Linked DNA regions of Oryctolagus cuniculus. The protein of the gene in region 3 interacts with the protein of the main gene of each other region in a pairwise test. Links are inferred from orthologs where the notes say so. Each region holds a gene or a part of one and is shown on either strand. Other genes may lie near its edges.

What was found.
Region 1: the proteins of LNX2 (region 3) and SRSF11 interact in a two-hybrid assay, tested with the Homo sapiens proteins (3 studies listed by BioGRID and IntAct). The link is inferred for Oryctolagus cuniculus from reciprocal best matches to the Homo sapiens genes LNX2 and SRSF11.
Region 2: the proteins of LNX2 (region 3) and PEG10 interact in binary tests that used the Homo sapiens proteins (3 or more experiments, as listed by UniProt). The link is inferred for Oryctolagus cuniculus from reciprocal best matches to the Homo sapiens genes LNX2 and PEG10.
Region 4: the proteins of LNX2 (region 3) and NMD3 interact in a two-hybrid assay, tested with the Homo sapiens proteins (3 studies listed by BioGRID and IntAct). The link is inferred for Oryctolagus cuniculus from reciprocal best matches to the Homo sapiens genes LNX2 and NMD3.

The regions. Positions count from the first base shown.
Region 1 is NC_091438.1:102,150,017-102,153,516, forward strand, and holds part of SRSF11 (serine/arginine-rich splicing factor 11), read right to left. Parts: intron 2,756-3,500; coding exon 2,663-2,755; intron 1,538-2,662; coding exon 1,488-1,537; intron 550-1,487; coding exon 422-549; intron 1-421. UniProt on the Homo sapiens protein: May function in pre-mRNA splicing.
Region 2 is NC_091447.1:41,286,235-41,289,734, reverse strand, and holds part of PEG10 (retrotransposon-derived protein PEG10), read left to right. Parts: coding exon 1-991; coding exon of another isoform or gene 992-2,172; 3' UTR 2,173-3,500.
Region 3 is NC_091440.1:86,898,217-86,902,264, forward strand, and holds the start of LNX2 (ligand of Numb protein X 2), read left to right. Parts: upstream 1-1,248; 5' UTR 1,249-1,458; intron 1,459-4,048.
Region 4 is NC_091435.1:119,367,155-119,370,654, reverse strand, and holds part of NMD3 (60S ribosomal export protein NMD3), read left to right. Parts: intron 1-165; coding exon 166-256; intron 257-1,152; coding exon 1,153-1,231; intron 1,232-1,930; coding exon 1,931-2,027; intron 2,028-3,500. UniProt on the Homo sapiens protein: Acts as an adapter for the XPO1/CRM1-mediated export of the 60S ribosomal subunit.

The DNA.
Region 1 (3,500 bases), on a different chromosome or scaffold from region 3:
CCTTTTAAATATTTATTTGTTTCAAAGGCAGAGAGGCAGAGAGAGACAGAGTGCTTCTCTATCCAATGGTTCATTCTCCAAATGGCTGCAAAAGAGAGGAACAAGGAACATCATCAGGGTATTTCACATGGGTGGCAGGGACCTAGTTATTTGGGTCTTCTTCTGTTGCCTTCTCAGGCACATCAGCAGGAAGCTGGATGGGAACACAGCAGCCAGGACTAAAGCGGCACTCTGATAAGGGATGTTGGCATCATAAGCAGAAGCATAACCTGCTGTAACACAACAATGTCTCACACATAATCTTTTCAGAATTTGGGAAATTAGGAAAAAAACCATATTTAACATATTTCCAGATTTATATACTTACTTTGGACAATAATATAGAATTTAATGTTTCACAAAACTCTACAAACATATTCACCTGGTTCTATAGCAGCAGAAATCAGGGACTGTGCTTCTCGTACTCTTTTCATAGCCTCCTCTATTTCTTTACTAGAGGTATCAGATTTCAGACTTGGTGAAACAAGACCAGCAGCTACATGATTCAACCTGAAACAGACAAGAATTGAGATCTGAAATATTTTAAGTGTATCCCTGCATTTCAAATGCGTATGTTCCACATAACATTTTTGAAAAACACTCCTTATAAAAAAGGGTGAGGATTCCACAATTTAGGTTAACAATACATTGTAAAGTGTCATTTTGAATATTTACAGTGTGCACCTGCATTTTAATAACTCAGAGATATCTGGAATAAGGAAAATATTCATTTAATTTTGCCGACCATCTATTACCATAGACCTTTTAAGAAATGTTAGTACAAGGCAATGTATTGACACAAAAATTTAACTGACCTTTCCCTTACATGATTAACAACATCCTACTTTTGTTGGGTAGAAAGCACTACTTTTTATTTTGAAGTTGGGAAGAAACTGAGGCAGAGGAAAAATGTCCCAAAGTTACACATGAAATACTGACTGGAAACACTAAAATGTCCCTTAAGAGGTTTTACACATGAAAGAAAAATTATACATATTCAAATTGAGCATGCTAGTTATTTGTGGGAGAGTGGTAATGTAACTAAGAATGGATACACTGGGAGCTTCAACTGTGCTGGTGATATTTTGTCAGCTGGATGGTGGGATTATACTTGAATTTTAACTTTAAGGTAATTTTTAAGAAAACAGCCACTAACTAGTAAAGACATCTGTGGTCTGCAACTTATTGACAGTGACATTTACCAAATTTACCACTTAGCAAATTTTAACATACCAACAAATTACCAATTTAAAAAGTTCCATAAACTTGTTAAATGTCAAGCAGTTAACAATTTTAATTACAACATGAAGTGAGCTTACTAGCGTGTCAAAGTTATTGGCTAAAATTATTTACCTAACATGTTTTACTTCTTTGCTCTGGGACAGTTTTTCCCAAACCCTAGATAGTGAAATGCCAAATCACTAATGGAAACAGAGAAAAACCCTTACTTGGGATCAACAGTACTCATGAGCTTCAGCAACTGATCTGCGGCAAGAGACTGCAAAAACAAAAATATAAGAAAAATGAAAATACAAATAACAGTACATAACTGCTATTTTCTCAGTATGTTTATGTCTCAGTATGTCCTGGAACAATCTGCCAAACCTACAAAAAGCAACATGCTCTGGGCACAACACTAACCAACAGAAATATAAGGCAAGCTATATATCATAGAAAATCTTTTAGTAGCCAAAAGAAAATACCAAAAGAAAACAGGCAACCTTAATGGCCACAATACTGACAGAGGAGCTTTAGCAAGTTATCTAAGATAATGAGGCTGAATAGTCCAGATTTCACAGAATTATCTTTTGATAATTTAAGGCTCTGCCAGTAAAATAGTACTTTCAAGAAACACATAAAGCGAAATCCAAACTAAACTATTTAGCCAGTGTATCAGAAGATCTCCACAAAGTAAGGATTTCAGAAAAAAGTTTAGGCAATTATAATAAAAGAAAAAAAATTCCCATGATAGAAAAACAAATTATGAGCTCATGTTCCCATTCTTTCATGACTATTTACTCTTTTTTCCACAACACTGATGGTGTCCTGGCTTCCTGTGAACCTATTTTCCATTTTGAATTATATGAAAAAAAAAAAAAAAAAAAAAAAAATTTTTATGGGTAACAGGCTAATAATTTAGTGAGCATTAAAATAACTTTTTAACACATTTGACAACAACAACAAATCATTTTTATAATATGGCAGTTAACTCCTGATCTTCAACTGCAAACTATAAATTAATGAAATGAATTTTCGGGGCTGGCACTGCGGCGCAGCGGGTTAATGCCCTGGCCTTAAGCACCGGCATTCCAAATGGGCGCCGGTTCTAGTCCTGGCTGCTCCTCTTCCAATCCAGCTCTCTGCTATGGCCTGGGAGAGCAACAGAAGATGGTCCAAGGCCTTGGGCCCCTACACCCAAATGGGAGACCTGGAGGAGGCTCCTGGTTCCTGATCGGTGCAGCTCCGACCGTTGCGGCCATATGGGGAGTGTACCTCTCTCTCTCTCTGCCTCTCCTCTCTGTAACTCTTTAAAATAAATAAATAAATCTAAAAAAAAAATAAATAAAAAAGAAATTTTCTATACAAAGTGACTCCAAATCTGAAGGGTAATAGTAAGTTGTACCTGAGAGTTCAAGTTTGCTCCAGGAAGCCCTAGTGCAGCAAGGGCAGGATCAAGAGTAGGAGCTCCCAAAGCAGCCAAAGGAACAGCGCCAATCTGAAAAACCAAATTTCATTTATTTAAAACTTCATTTCTGTGCCTTATGCTTCAGGTGAACTTTTTTCCCCTAAAAACAGAGTCTGTAGGCTCAAACTACTCAATTGTACACAAATCCATACAACTATTACCACTGTAGCTGAAAAAGGAACCAAAGACAATACACAAACCAACAGGCAGGCTGAATAAAAAGTATTAACAAAAACAGGCCTGATGCTGACACTGTGGCAAAGGCTGCTGCTTGTGACACTGGAATCCCAGCAGTGCCAACCAATTCAATACCTACCTGGCTCTGCTTCTAATTCAGCTCCCTGCTAATATACCTGGGAAGGCAGGAAGGATAGTCCAACTACTTAGGCCCCTGCCACCCACAAGGGAGACACTTTGTCTTGGCACAGCCCAGGCCATTGCTGCCACATACGAGTGAAATGGCAGATGGAAGACATCTGTCTCTCTGTAACTCTGTCAAACCACCCTACTTTGCCAACTCCTCTTTGTCTGAAGCCTTCCCTCCCATCATCTTTTAAGGATAACTGATTTAAAGGCAGAGTAACAGAAAGGGAGGGAGACAGGTAAAAAGGCAGATGAATCTTATATTTGATGGTTCACTCCCCAAATTCCTGCAATAGCTGGGGCTGGGTCAAGCCAAAGACAGGAAATTGGTTTTCCCTACAAGTAGCAGGAACTCAACTACTTGGGCCATCACCTGCTATCTCCCAGATGTATTAGCAGGATGCTGGATCAG
Region 2 (3,500 bases), on a different chromosome or scaffold from region 3:
CAACATGACCGAGCGGCGGCGCGACGAGCTGTCGGAAGAGATCAACAACCTGCGCGAGAAGGTCATCCGGCAGTCGGAGGAGAACAGCCAGCTGCAGAGCCAGGTGCAGAAGCTCACGGAGGAGAACAGCACCCTGCGAGAGCAGGTGGAGCCCCCTGCCGCCGAGGAGGAGGCCGAGGAAGACGAGCTGGAGCTGCGCGGGGCCGCGGCAGCTGCTGCCCCGCCACCCCCCGTGGAGGAGGAGTGCCCCGAGGACCTCCCGGAGAAGTTTGATGGCAACCCGGACATGTTGGCGCCCTTCATATCCCAGTGCCAGATCTTCATGGAAAAGAGCACCCGCGATTTCTCCGTGGACCGTGTGCGTGTCTGCTTCGTCACCAGCATGATGACGGGCCGTGCGGCGCGGTGGGCCTCAGCCAAGCTGGAACGTTCACACTACCTGATGCACAACTACCCCGCCTTCATGATGGAGATGAAGCACGTCTTCGAAGACCCCCAGCGCCGGGAGGCCGCCAAGCGCAAGATCCGCCGTCTGCGCCAAGGCATGGGCTCGGTGGTCGACTACTCCAACGCCTTCCAGATGATCGCCCAGGACCTGGACTGGAACGAGCCCGCGCTCATCGACCAGTACCACGAGGGCCTGAGCGACCACATCCAGGAGGAGCTGTCCCACCTGGAGGTGGCCAAGTCCCTGTCAGCGCTCATCAGCCAGTGCATCCAAATCGAGAGACGGCTGGCCCGGGCGGCTGCGGCGCGCAAGCCCCGCTCCCCGCCGCGTGCGCTTGTGCTTCCCAACGTGTCAGGCAACCACCAGGTGGACCCCACCGAGCCCGTGGGGGGCGCCCGCATGCGCCTCACCCAAGAAGAGAAGGAGCGCCGCAGGAAGCTGAACCTATGCCTCTACTGCGGCACCGGTGGCCACTACGCCGACAACTGTCCTGCCAAGGCCTCCAAGTCCTCGCCGGCGGGAAACTCCCCGGCCCCGCTGTAGAGGGACCTTCAGCGACCGGGCCAGAAATAATAAGGTCCCCACAAGATGATGCCTCATCTCCACACCTGCAAGTGATGCTCCAGATCCATCTTCCGGGCAGACACACCCTGTTTGTTCGAGCCATGATCGATTCTGGTGCTTCCGGGAACTTCATCGACCACGAATACGTCACCCAAAATGGAATCCCACTGAGAATCAAGGACTGGCCAATCCTCGTGGAAGCGATCGACGGGCGCCCCATCGCGTCCGGCCCGGTCGTCTACGAAACTCACGACCTGATTGTAGACATGGGAGACCACCGAGAGGTGTTGTCCTTCGACGTGACTCAGTCTCCTTTCTTCCCCGTGGTCCTGGGCGTACGCTGGCTGAGCACACATGACCCCAACATCACCTGGAGTACCCGCTCCATCGTCTTCGACTCCGACTACTGCCGCTACCACTGCCGCCTGTACACGCACCTGCCGACTGCGCCCCAGCCGCACCTCTACTACCCGGTGGACGGCTACCGCGTGTACCACCCGGTGCGCTACTACTATGTGCAGAATGTCTACACCCCAGTCGACGAGCATGTCTACCCAGACCACCGGCTGGTGGACCCCGGCATAGAGATGATCCCAGGAGCGCACAGCATCCCCAGCGGGCACGTGTATACCCTGTCGGAACATGAGATGGCGGCGCTGCGAAACTTCGTGGCCAGGAACGTGAAGGACGGGCTCATCACCCCCACCATCGCCCCGAACGGGGCCCAGGTCCTGCAGGTCAAGAGGGGCTGGAAGCTGCAGGTGTCCTACGACTGCCGCACTCCGAACAACTTCACCATCCAGAACCAGTATCCTCGTCTGTCCCTCCCCAACCTGGAAGACCAAGCCCATCTGGCCACCTACACCGAGTGTGTACATCATGTGCACTGCTGCCATTCTTGTCATTCATGCCATTTTTATCATTTGTGCCAAAGGTGCCATTCGTACCATGCCTACCCTTCGTACCCAGCCTACCCTGTGGGCTACGCCTGGTACCCAGTGGGCCGAGACATACAAGGAAGAGCGCTCTACATCCCTGTCATGATCACCTGGAACCCGCACTGGTACCGCCAGCCCCCCGTGCCGCAGTACCCCCCGCCGCAGCCGCCGCCGCCGCCGCCGCCGCCCCCGCCGCCGCCGTCGTCCTACAGCTCCCTGTGAGCCCGCTCGAGGCCGCGGGACCCCCGCCCTCCGGGCCTCCTCCTGTCCAGCTTCCCCGTCAGTGACTGTGTGCTGAAGGCGGCCGCCGGTGCCGCAGGTCAGGCATCGGCCAGCGCCTGCCCGCTGCGCTCTGCCCCGACTGCCATCTCGCGGGAGTCCACCTTCCAGCCTCCGTCACCACCCGGATTTCTAGCTGCCAAATTCTGAACCCAGAAGCTGACCCCACACAGGAAATGCTGACTTCTCCGAGGAGGGGGAGCGGAGGAGGAGGACAGGACTTCTCGCAGTTTCGGTCCTCTGAGTTACACCCCTGGAGGACCCGCGCCTTATGAAGGAAGCCGCATTTACTGGTGCAGTGGGCAGAGGCTTCCGTGATGCTAGTGCTGCACCTTCAGAAACTTCACCTTCTTCGAGCTCCACGTTCATGGTTCCGTTAATTCTCAAGGAGCAGCAACTCGACCGGTTCTCCCAGGAGCGGGCAAAACCCCTGCAACAGGAAACACCTCAGGCCTGGAAAGGAAGTGCTCTATCAGAGACTCTGGCGCGTTAAGAGTGTGCCTTCACACCCTGGTGCAAATCACACGTACCCAAGAACTCTGGCTCGACACAGCATCGACACAGCATCGTACCATCACCACGCCAGGAACAGCTTCCACCAAGCGTTCCGTGTCTGTGACGTGTCATGACCACCTCTCAATGACGCGCGTGGGCCGAAGAACAGCGAGTGGATAGGACTCCTAAACCCTGTACCCAACTCTTAAGAGACTCAGAGTTCCTTGTTTCCAACTTTTAGTGGTCTTTCAGAGGGAGTTTTCACGAGTGTTGGTGACGGGTTGCAACAGCAGCAGCTTACAGTTTTGGAAACATCTATCTGTGTGTGTGCCTCCATACGCATCTGGGCATTCCATCCTCAGTTCCCTCATTGGACTGTACCATTTTAGGATGCTGAGAGAGGGGCAATGATTTTGCACTCAGACCCACACTCCTGTACAAGGGAGGGATGGATGTCTTTGAGGAAGAGAAATTGTCTTGAGGATACTGACCTTCCTGGTGAGCTTTTTCATTCAACAGGGTGACCTGATGTAACCACTTTGAAAGGATCCCTCCAGGTGATGGAGCCAACATGAAGCTCTCAAAAATTGGGTGAAAGGCCTCACACACAGCTGTTGCCAATCCAGTGACCCCTCTGGTGTCAGCTGGACGCTCTGTGCTAACCTGGGACTGCCTGACTTCTTTAGCCTGGTCCCTTGCTATTACCTTGAAGTGTTTGTCTAACCTCTTTGTGTTTGATTCTTTACTACTGCCATTAACCCTGATGCAGGATTTGT
Region 3 (4,048 bases):
GGCTGAGGCAGGAAGGAAGGAACGACGGACGGAAGAAGGCGGCGACGGAAGGAGGGAGGAGGAGCCGCAGCGGCGCGGCAGGGTCCGGGCGCTGGGCGGGACGTGGAGGCTCCGCCCCCGGCCCCGCCCCCGGCGCGAGGAGGGCGGTGGCGCCGGGCCCGAGCCGCTCACCTGGCGCGCCCCCAGCCTGGCGGCGTGCGGGGCGAGCCGGGAGGAGGGCGGCGGAGGGCCCGCTGGCGTCGCACCCGGAGGCCCCGGTCACAGTGCGTGCGCCCGAGCTCCACCTTTGGTACCGTCTCCCCAACTGGTGGCGAAGGGGGCAGGGCCTTACCTGCCGCCCCCACATCACCTCCCTTCTTGGGACCCAAGTCCGGCCTGCTAGACTCGACTGGAACCCTGTGGCCTCCCGGGAATCCAACCTCTTGTGGGACCGCAGGCTTGGGCTATACCGTCCTTAAATAGGAGGGGCTGAGTCTCGTTAACAGAACGTGGTGCTTCAAGACAGTACTCAGTGGGGTTCTTGCAGCTAAGCATCTCCCCCGGGACACAGGACAAGCGTTTACCGTTTTCCTTAGGGGAGAAGTGGGAGTTTGGGAGCACACTCACCCACCCCGTCCTTTCCTTCCCCCGGCCATGCACCTCCCTTCCACCCTTTTCTTTACCCCTTCTGCACCCCACCCCCGGGGAACCTCCCTCTCATCTTTGTTCCCAGGCGTCCCCTACCCCGCTTCGGCAGCCTTTCCTCGGCGGGGTTCCCTCTCCGGCCCCTTCCTCTCTGGGAGTGTTCAGTGCTGCTCCCCGCTGCTCACCCCCGGCTCCCGCAACCTCTCTAACGCCGGCCAGCCCCGGTCGCTGCCCTCTACCCCGGCTGTCCTCTCGCCCAGCACACCTACACGCCTGCTCTCCCGCGCCACCTGTTCCCCTCGACCTCCCCCCACCCCGCTCCGTGCGTCCCCTGCTCAGCTGTCCCGCTGTCCCCGCGGCTGCCCGGCGCTCGCTCACACACTTGCCGAGCGCCTTCCACAGAGGAATCAGGCGAGCGGCGGGGACAGCCCCAGGCGGGTGGGGGAGGGCGAGGGGCGAGGGACGGAGTAGGTTCACTCTAACCTAGGAATGACGGCCCCTCCTGGTCCGCCCCCTGCGTTCTCTGATAGGTGGATCCGCCTCTGATCCGCCCCCTCCCCGCCCTGTGGCGCCGCCGATTGGCCCAGCAGCGTGTCGGGTTGGGCCGCTCAGCCCGGCGCTCGCCCCCGGGAAGGCAGCAGGGGCGGTTGAGAAGTGAAGTCTTGGCCAGAGTTTGCTTCTTGCCGGGAAACCCGCGACTGCGGCGGCGGCGATTCCCGGAGGAGCGGAGCCTGGCCGACTCCCGGCTCCCTCGGCGGGCCGCGGAGAGCGGGAGCTGGCGCCTGGCTGCGGCGCCGGGAGCCCCTGCGCGCCCCGGGCAGCCGCGCTTTCCCAGTGAGTAACTTTGCCTTGCCCTCCCCGCCGTGCGCTCTCTTCGCCGGCTGCCGGCAGCCGCCTCAGGTGCGGGGTGTGGGGCAGCGCCGCAGCCCGCGCTCGAGCCGCCGTCCTCCTCGGCTCCGTTTGCTCGCCTGGGCTGCGGGGCCAGCGCGGAGCCGAGTGCGGGGCTGGCCAGGCTGGTCCGGGGAGGAGGGGACGGCTGCCCGGCGCCTGGCTCCTGGCGCCCGGCGCCCGGCTGGCGAGTGGAAGGCGGGCGGCCCGGGGTTTGGCATTGGGTGGTTCTGGCCACCGCGGTGCGGATCTTTGCGTCGTTTGCTCTTTAGGGGAGACCAGAGGTGGTGGTGATTTTTTTTTTTTTTTTAATTTCGCGTGTGTGTTGGGAATGAGTGTGGCTCCAGCTGCTTCCCCGTCGGATTTCGTGCCCCTGGAAAGCAGTGGAGGGACATCGGCCCCAGCCTGTTGCCCAGGAATCCTCAGGCTGGAGACGAACTCCTGGGGGTAATTTCAAAATACGGATCTTGATTTGGAAGCATTGCACACAAAGCAACATGAGGCATTCAGGAAACACATCCCTCTCTTTATGCCACGTCTTAGACAACTACTTCCAACTTAGATGTAGGGTTTCTAATAGTATTTCAGTTATGGATCCTGACTTTTGGATTTGCCTAGAGTTAAAGTACATTCATGCATGGGCTTCCCTGTATAGATTTTCCTTTTTTTTTTTTTTTTTTTTAAATCACAAGAATCAGAAACGAAGTTGAAAGAAAAGTGGTCTTAGGGCAGGAGGAACAGTTGTGAGCTCCAGTTTATTGGAACTGGCCTCACTAGGAATTTCGCATTCTTGAGGCAATAGTACTTACTTGCAAACTGGCCTTCTTCCCAGGAAAGATTTTGATTTTTCTGTTGCACACACTGTGACACAGCACTGATGCAGTTGGATACCAGTGGATCAATTTTAATGCACTTTGAAAGATTTGTTTCCCACCCCCACAGCCCTTTGGAAAGAGGACTTTGGCAGGTAAAGGAGGAAGGGGGAGGAGGGATCTAGTATCCTGTTGGGCCTGTCAGAGCTTTGTTGAGCCAGGAATAACAAAGTTTGGCCTTTTTAGCTTGTCCAACTCTCATATGTGAGTTTTCCCATAGGGATAAAATCTAGGCCAAGTCAGAGCCAAAGTAGAATAACTCTGCTCTTTATTTGGCCCACTTGTGTGTCAACATTCTTAATTCTGTATCTTGTTCCTCTCTTCATGAAATTTTGGAATTTTTCATTATTCATTCAAACCACTGATAAAATGCCTACTGCATGCCAGGCGTTGATGGCAGGGTCAGTTCTTGCTCAGAAGTTGCTCGAACTCTCATTTGGAAGCTGGTCCTCACCTCTGGTCCACTGCTTATCAGAAAGTAACTTGAACAAAGTGCTATGGGAACTTAGAAGATGGAGCATTTGCCTGGGGTTTGTTAGAGGAGGCCTCACATGGGCACTCTTCAGGTTGGTGTGGGATTTTACCAGGTACAGCCTAGGCCAAGGGACTGACATACATGCCCCTTGCAAGTGGCTGCATGTGTTAGAGAGTTGCTTTATGAAATCTGTGTTTGGTCAGCTTCACCAAGGGACACAGTGTCTGTAGTTGAAGTAGTAGTCAGGGGTGGTATGTTACTCATTTCAGACTTAGCATTTTGCCTTGCTTACAGCAGGCACTCAAATGCTTACTGAACTGACTTCAGCAGAAAAATGGAGGATTTTGCATAACGAATTAGAAAATTTGGACCTCATCCAGTCAGTGATATAGAGCTGCTAATTTTTAAGCAAGGAAATATCATAACATTTGCGTTCCAGAAAGATATCTGCAGTGGCCTGGGGGAGGATGGGCATCCAGGTGGGAGGTAGGGAGACAAAGTCAGAGGTTGTTAGAATGTAGGGGTTAAGTCCTCAGGGGCTTTTTATTTAGATATTTGGGTTTGAACTTGGCTGTGTCATTTACTGCACAACCTCTTTGTTCAGTAGGTTCTTCATCTCATAGGGCTCGAGGGACTAAAATGTAAAAGAAACCCCAAAATTCTGTATATTAGAATAGTGTGTGGCATGCATTGAGGACTTAGTATATACTAATTGTCTTTCTGTATGAAGGCAATGGCAGGACAGGTGATATGGCATTTAGGAGGTATGGCTAGGAGGCTGGACTAGGTAAGTGGGCAAGACTAATGAGACAAGGATAATGCCTGGGTTTTCTGACTTGAGGCATTGGCATGTACAGTATACAGGTTAAGCTGGCTTTGGAGTCAGAACAGGGGTTGAATTCTAATTCTGTCACCTTCCCTTAGGATTCCTGTCCCGAGTTTGGATTTCCTAACATTTCGGAGATGATCCTAGTACCTGTTTATTAGTGTTTGCGGATCAACTGAAATTACACATGTAAATTCCCTTGGAACAGTCAAGTGCTTAATAAATATTAGTTGTTCCTTTAGTGATGATGACATTAGTGAGAGAGTAGAGGGCAAGGGGATATAAGAAGGAGCAGTAAAAACAGCTTATAGGCCAGCGCCGCGGCTCACTAGGCTAATTCTCCGCCTGCGGCGCTGGCACCCC
Region 4 (3,500 bases), on a different chromosome or scaffold from region 3:
CCCTGAAGCATTCACCTTTGGAAATAGATATTATTCTATTTTAGATAATCTTTAAATATGGTTTTTGTTTGAAAACTCAGTGTCCCATATCTATAGATGGTATCTTCATGTGCTATATTTATAAATATTTTGACTTTAATTTATTAATAATATATTTATATTTAGACTTTGCACAAAAAAACTTTCTACTATCTGGAACAGTTGATTCTGAAGTATGGAATGCATCAGAATACACTTCGTATCAAAGAGATTCATGGTGAGTTAAAATTGGAAAGAGTTTGAAATTATGTCATAGTTTATTTCAACTTACCTAAGTAATCTTATCTTTCCTGATAGTTTCTGGATTAGTAGTACCATCCAAAAGAACTTTCTGTTAGGAAATTAAAAACGTCTTAGTTCTATATCCTCTCTGTCCAGTGTGATAGTCACTAGTTAGTCATTTGTGGCTGTTGAGTAATTGAAATCTGATTAGTGCAACTAATTAGAGGAACTGAATTTTTATTTTCTCCTATTTTAATTTAAAATTAGATTCAGGTTACATGTGGCTACTCTGTTATATAGCAGAGACTTAGAACTCAGAATTTTTTTCTTTGATTTTCTGCCTCTGCCCAAATTAATGATACTTATCAACCCTCTGGTTTATGATAGATGCCATGCTGTGTTCTTAGAACATAAAGATGAACTGATACTAACTCCTGCCCTCAGTGAATCGTTTGCCTTGTTACCTAATGAGTAACCAGTAACTATGTGAATAAAGTGTTCAATGCTATGATAGAAGATTCATCAAAAACTTATTTTATGTAGTAGAGAGAACAGTTTCTCATTGGAAGAAGTTAATTATTTTTGAGTTCTATAAGTTCTTTCTATACTGTTTTTATGTTTTTCATATCAGAGGATTTATGATGTATACAATAATTCAGAAGTCTAAATTTAGTAATAATAAATAGTGATACCAAATAGTGATACATAAAATATCTGTTTCTCTCTCTTGGCCTTGTATTTTATTTTGTCCTTTTATCAAGCAAATCTTAAATGATATTCCTAATCAGTTATGGCTACAATATAATCTTTATATTTTCTGATTTGATTTTATTTAGTATAGATTTAATTTGTGAAGTAAGTCTTCTTTTACAGAATTTTGTTTTTTTTCAGATGGTCTGGATTTCTATTATTCCTCAAAGCAACATGCTCAGAAGATGGTAGAATTTCTTCAGTGTACAGTTCCCTGTAGGTATGTTCTAAACCTAAATGTGGCTTATTCTGGGGATCTGGGAATAGATATGGGTAACATTGTTGAGGCTTTGACAATATTCTTTAGGTTAAAAATTTTAAAAATCGTAGGAGTACTTACTTATACAGTCAGGAAGCTTTTATTGGTTTAGGCACTTTAAGTGATAGAGTAACTGAAGAGCACGTAAGAATCTCCTTGGGGAGCTAAAACTAACACCGTGATACTAAACACTGTTATGCTGAACCATTGATTAAATGTATTTAAATTATATGAAACAGGAAAAATAGGGTATAAGAGAGCTTTGTGGAAAGCTTTATGGAAGAAGTGGGACTTGTGGTTCAAAAGTGGGAAAAATTTTTCAAAGGTGGAATTTAAAATTTAAAGAAGATACTAGGGTGAACAAAGACTTGCAGTGGGCATTTGGGTAAGTTTTAATGGATAGCATGTAGAGAGCACATTGGTCTGAGCCCAAGTACATATTTTGGAGGCTTTCAGCAGATAAGGTTGAAAATAGATGGAATATAATTAGACCTATGAAGGTTTTAAATTACACGTGGATGAAATTTGCTCTAACATAGCAGACATCAGGAAGCTGTTTCAGACCTTGGACAGTGATAATCTGATTTGATGAAAATTGATATTCCTGTCTTCACAAGAACCTTAGTCTTTATATTGATTTTAATCTTTTTTTGTTAATAGATACAAAGCATCACAAAGACTGATATCTCAAGATATCCATAGTAACACATACAATTACAAAAGCACTTTTTCTGTGGAAATTGTTCCAATATGCAAGGTAATTTTTTAAATTTGATAATTCGTATCTATATAAGAATACAAGTGATTAATTGGTTTGAATGTAGTTTATAACTCCTGGCTTTTTTCTGAACTTGGTGTAAAGTGTAGAATAACGAACTTCAATGATTTCTGAAATATTCAGCCATGTTAAAAAGATACAGAAAAGTAACCATGCTTGTAATTATGAATTGAAATGCATTTCATTTGTTTTTTTAAGATGAAATGTCCTGGTTTCAGTTTTTTAAAAATTCATTTTCCTTAAAACTTGTGATCCTAGTGGACATATGACAGTTCTACAAAACTTTGAATACAGGAAATGATATTAAAATAAGTATTAGTGAGCTTTTTGTGGAACATATGCAAGCAGGATTTTGGCAGGATTAAATTAATCAATATTGTGGAAATGAGATCACGGAATCCTTTTTGTTATTTAAAAGTATCTGAATAAAACCTTTAAATGTAGATTATTTCATTTGATCTTCTAAGATACAAACTACAAAAATGTAAATGATTTAAAATTCAATAAGTAATTATTGAGCATTCACTATATAGAATACTATGTGACTATGTGTTCATGACTAGTCAGCTCTCTACCATGTAGGAACTCACATTTTTATATTAAACCACTAATAATGATAACTACCATTATTTATTGTGAACATTCTATGATGCCATTATCTATTTACTTAAGTATTCACTTTGTATACAGTACTAGAGTAAAATAATAGCCTAAAATAGGGTCAGCAGTTTTTTTTTAAGATGTGTTCATTTTTTTTATTTGAAAGACAGAAAGAGAGAGATACTCCCACTGTTGGTTCATTTCCCAAGTGGCCACAAACAGGGTGAGGCCAGGCTGAGTGAAGAGCCAGGAACTCCATCTTGGTCTCCCACAGGTTGGCAGGAACTCATGTACTTTAGCCATGATTGCTGCCTACCAGCAAGCTTTCTATAAAGGGCTAGATAGTAAATATTTTTTGCTTTCAAACCCTATAACCTCTTTTGCAACTTGTTAGCTCTGCTCTTGTTATACAAAAGCAGCCATGATTAATATGTGAGTGAGTGACCAGAACTGTGTTCCCATAAAACTACCTGTAGCAATAAGTGGTGGTGGGGCTGCAATTGGCCTTGCAGTTAAGACACCTGCATCCTTTATCCTTATGAGTGCCTAGGTTTGATACCTCAGGCTCCTGATAATGCAGACCTTGGGAGCAGCAGTGGTAACTCAAGTAATTGGGTTTGTGCCATGCATGTTGGAGACCTAGGCTGAGTTTGCAGCTCCTGGCTTTGCCCCAGCCGAAGGCTGTTGTGGACATTTGGGAAGTGGACCAATAGATGAGTACTCTGTATATCTGTCTCTCAAAGTTCTTAAATGGTGGACCAAATTTGTCCCTAAGGTCGTTTTTTGCCAACTCCTCTTTTAAAACAATAAACATTTCCTGACATATGAAGCCTAAGAATTAATGAATTTGGG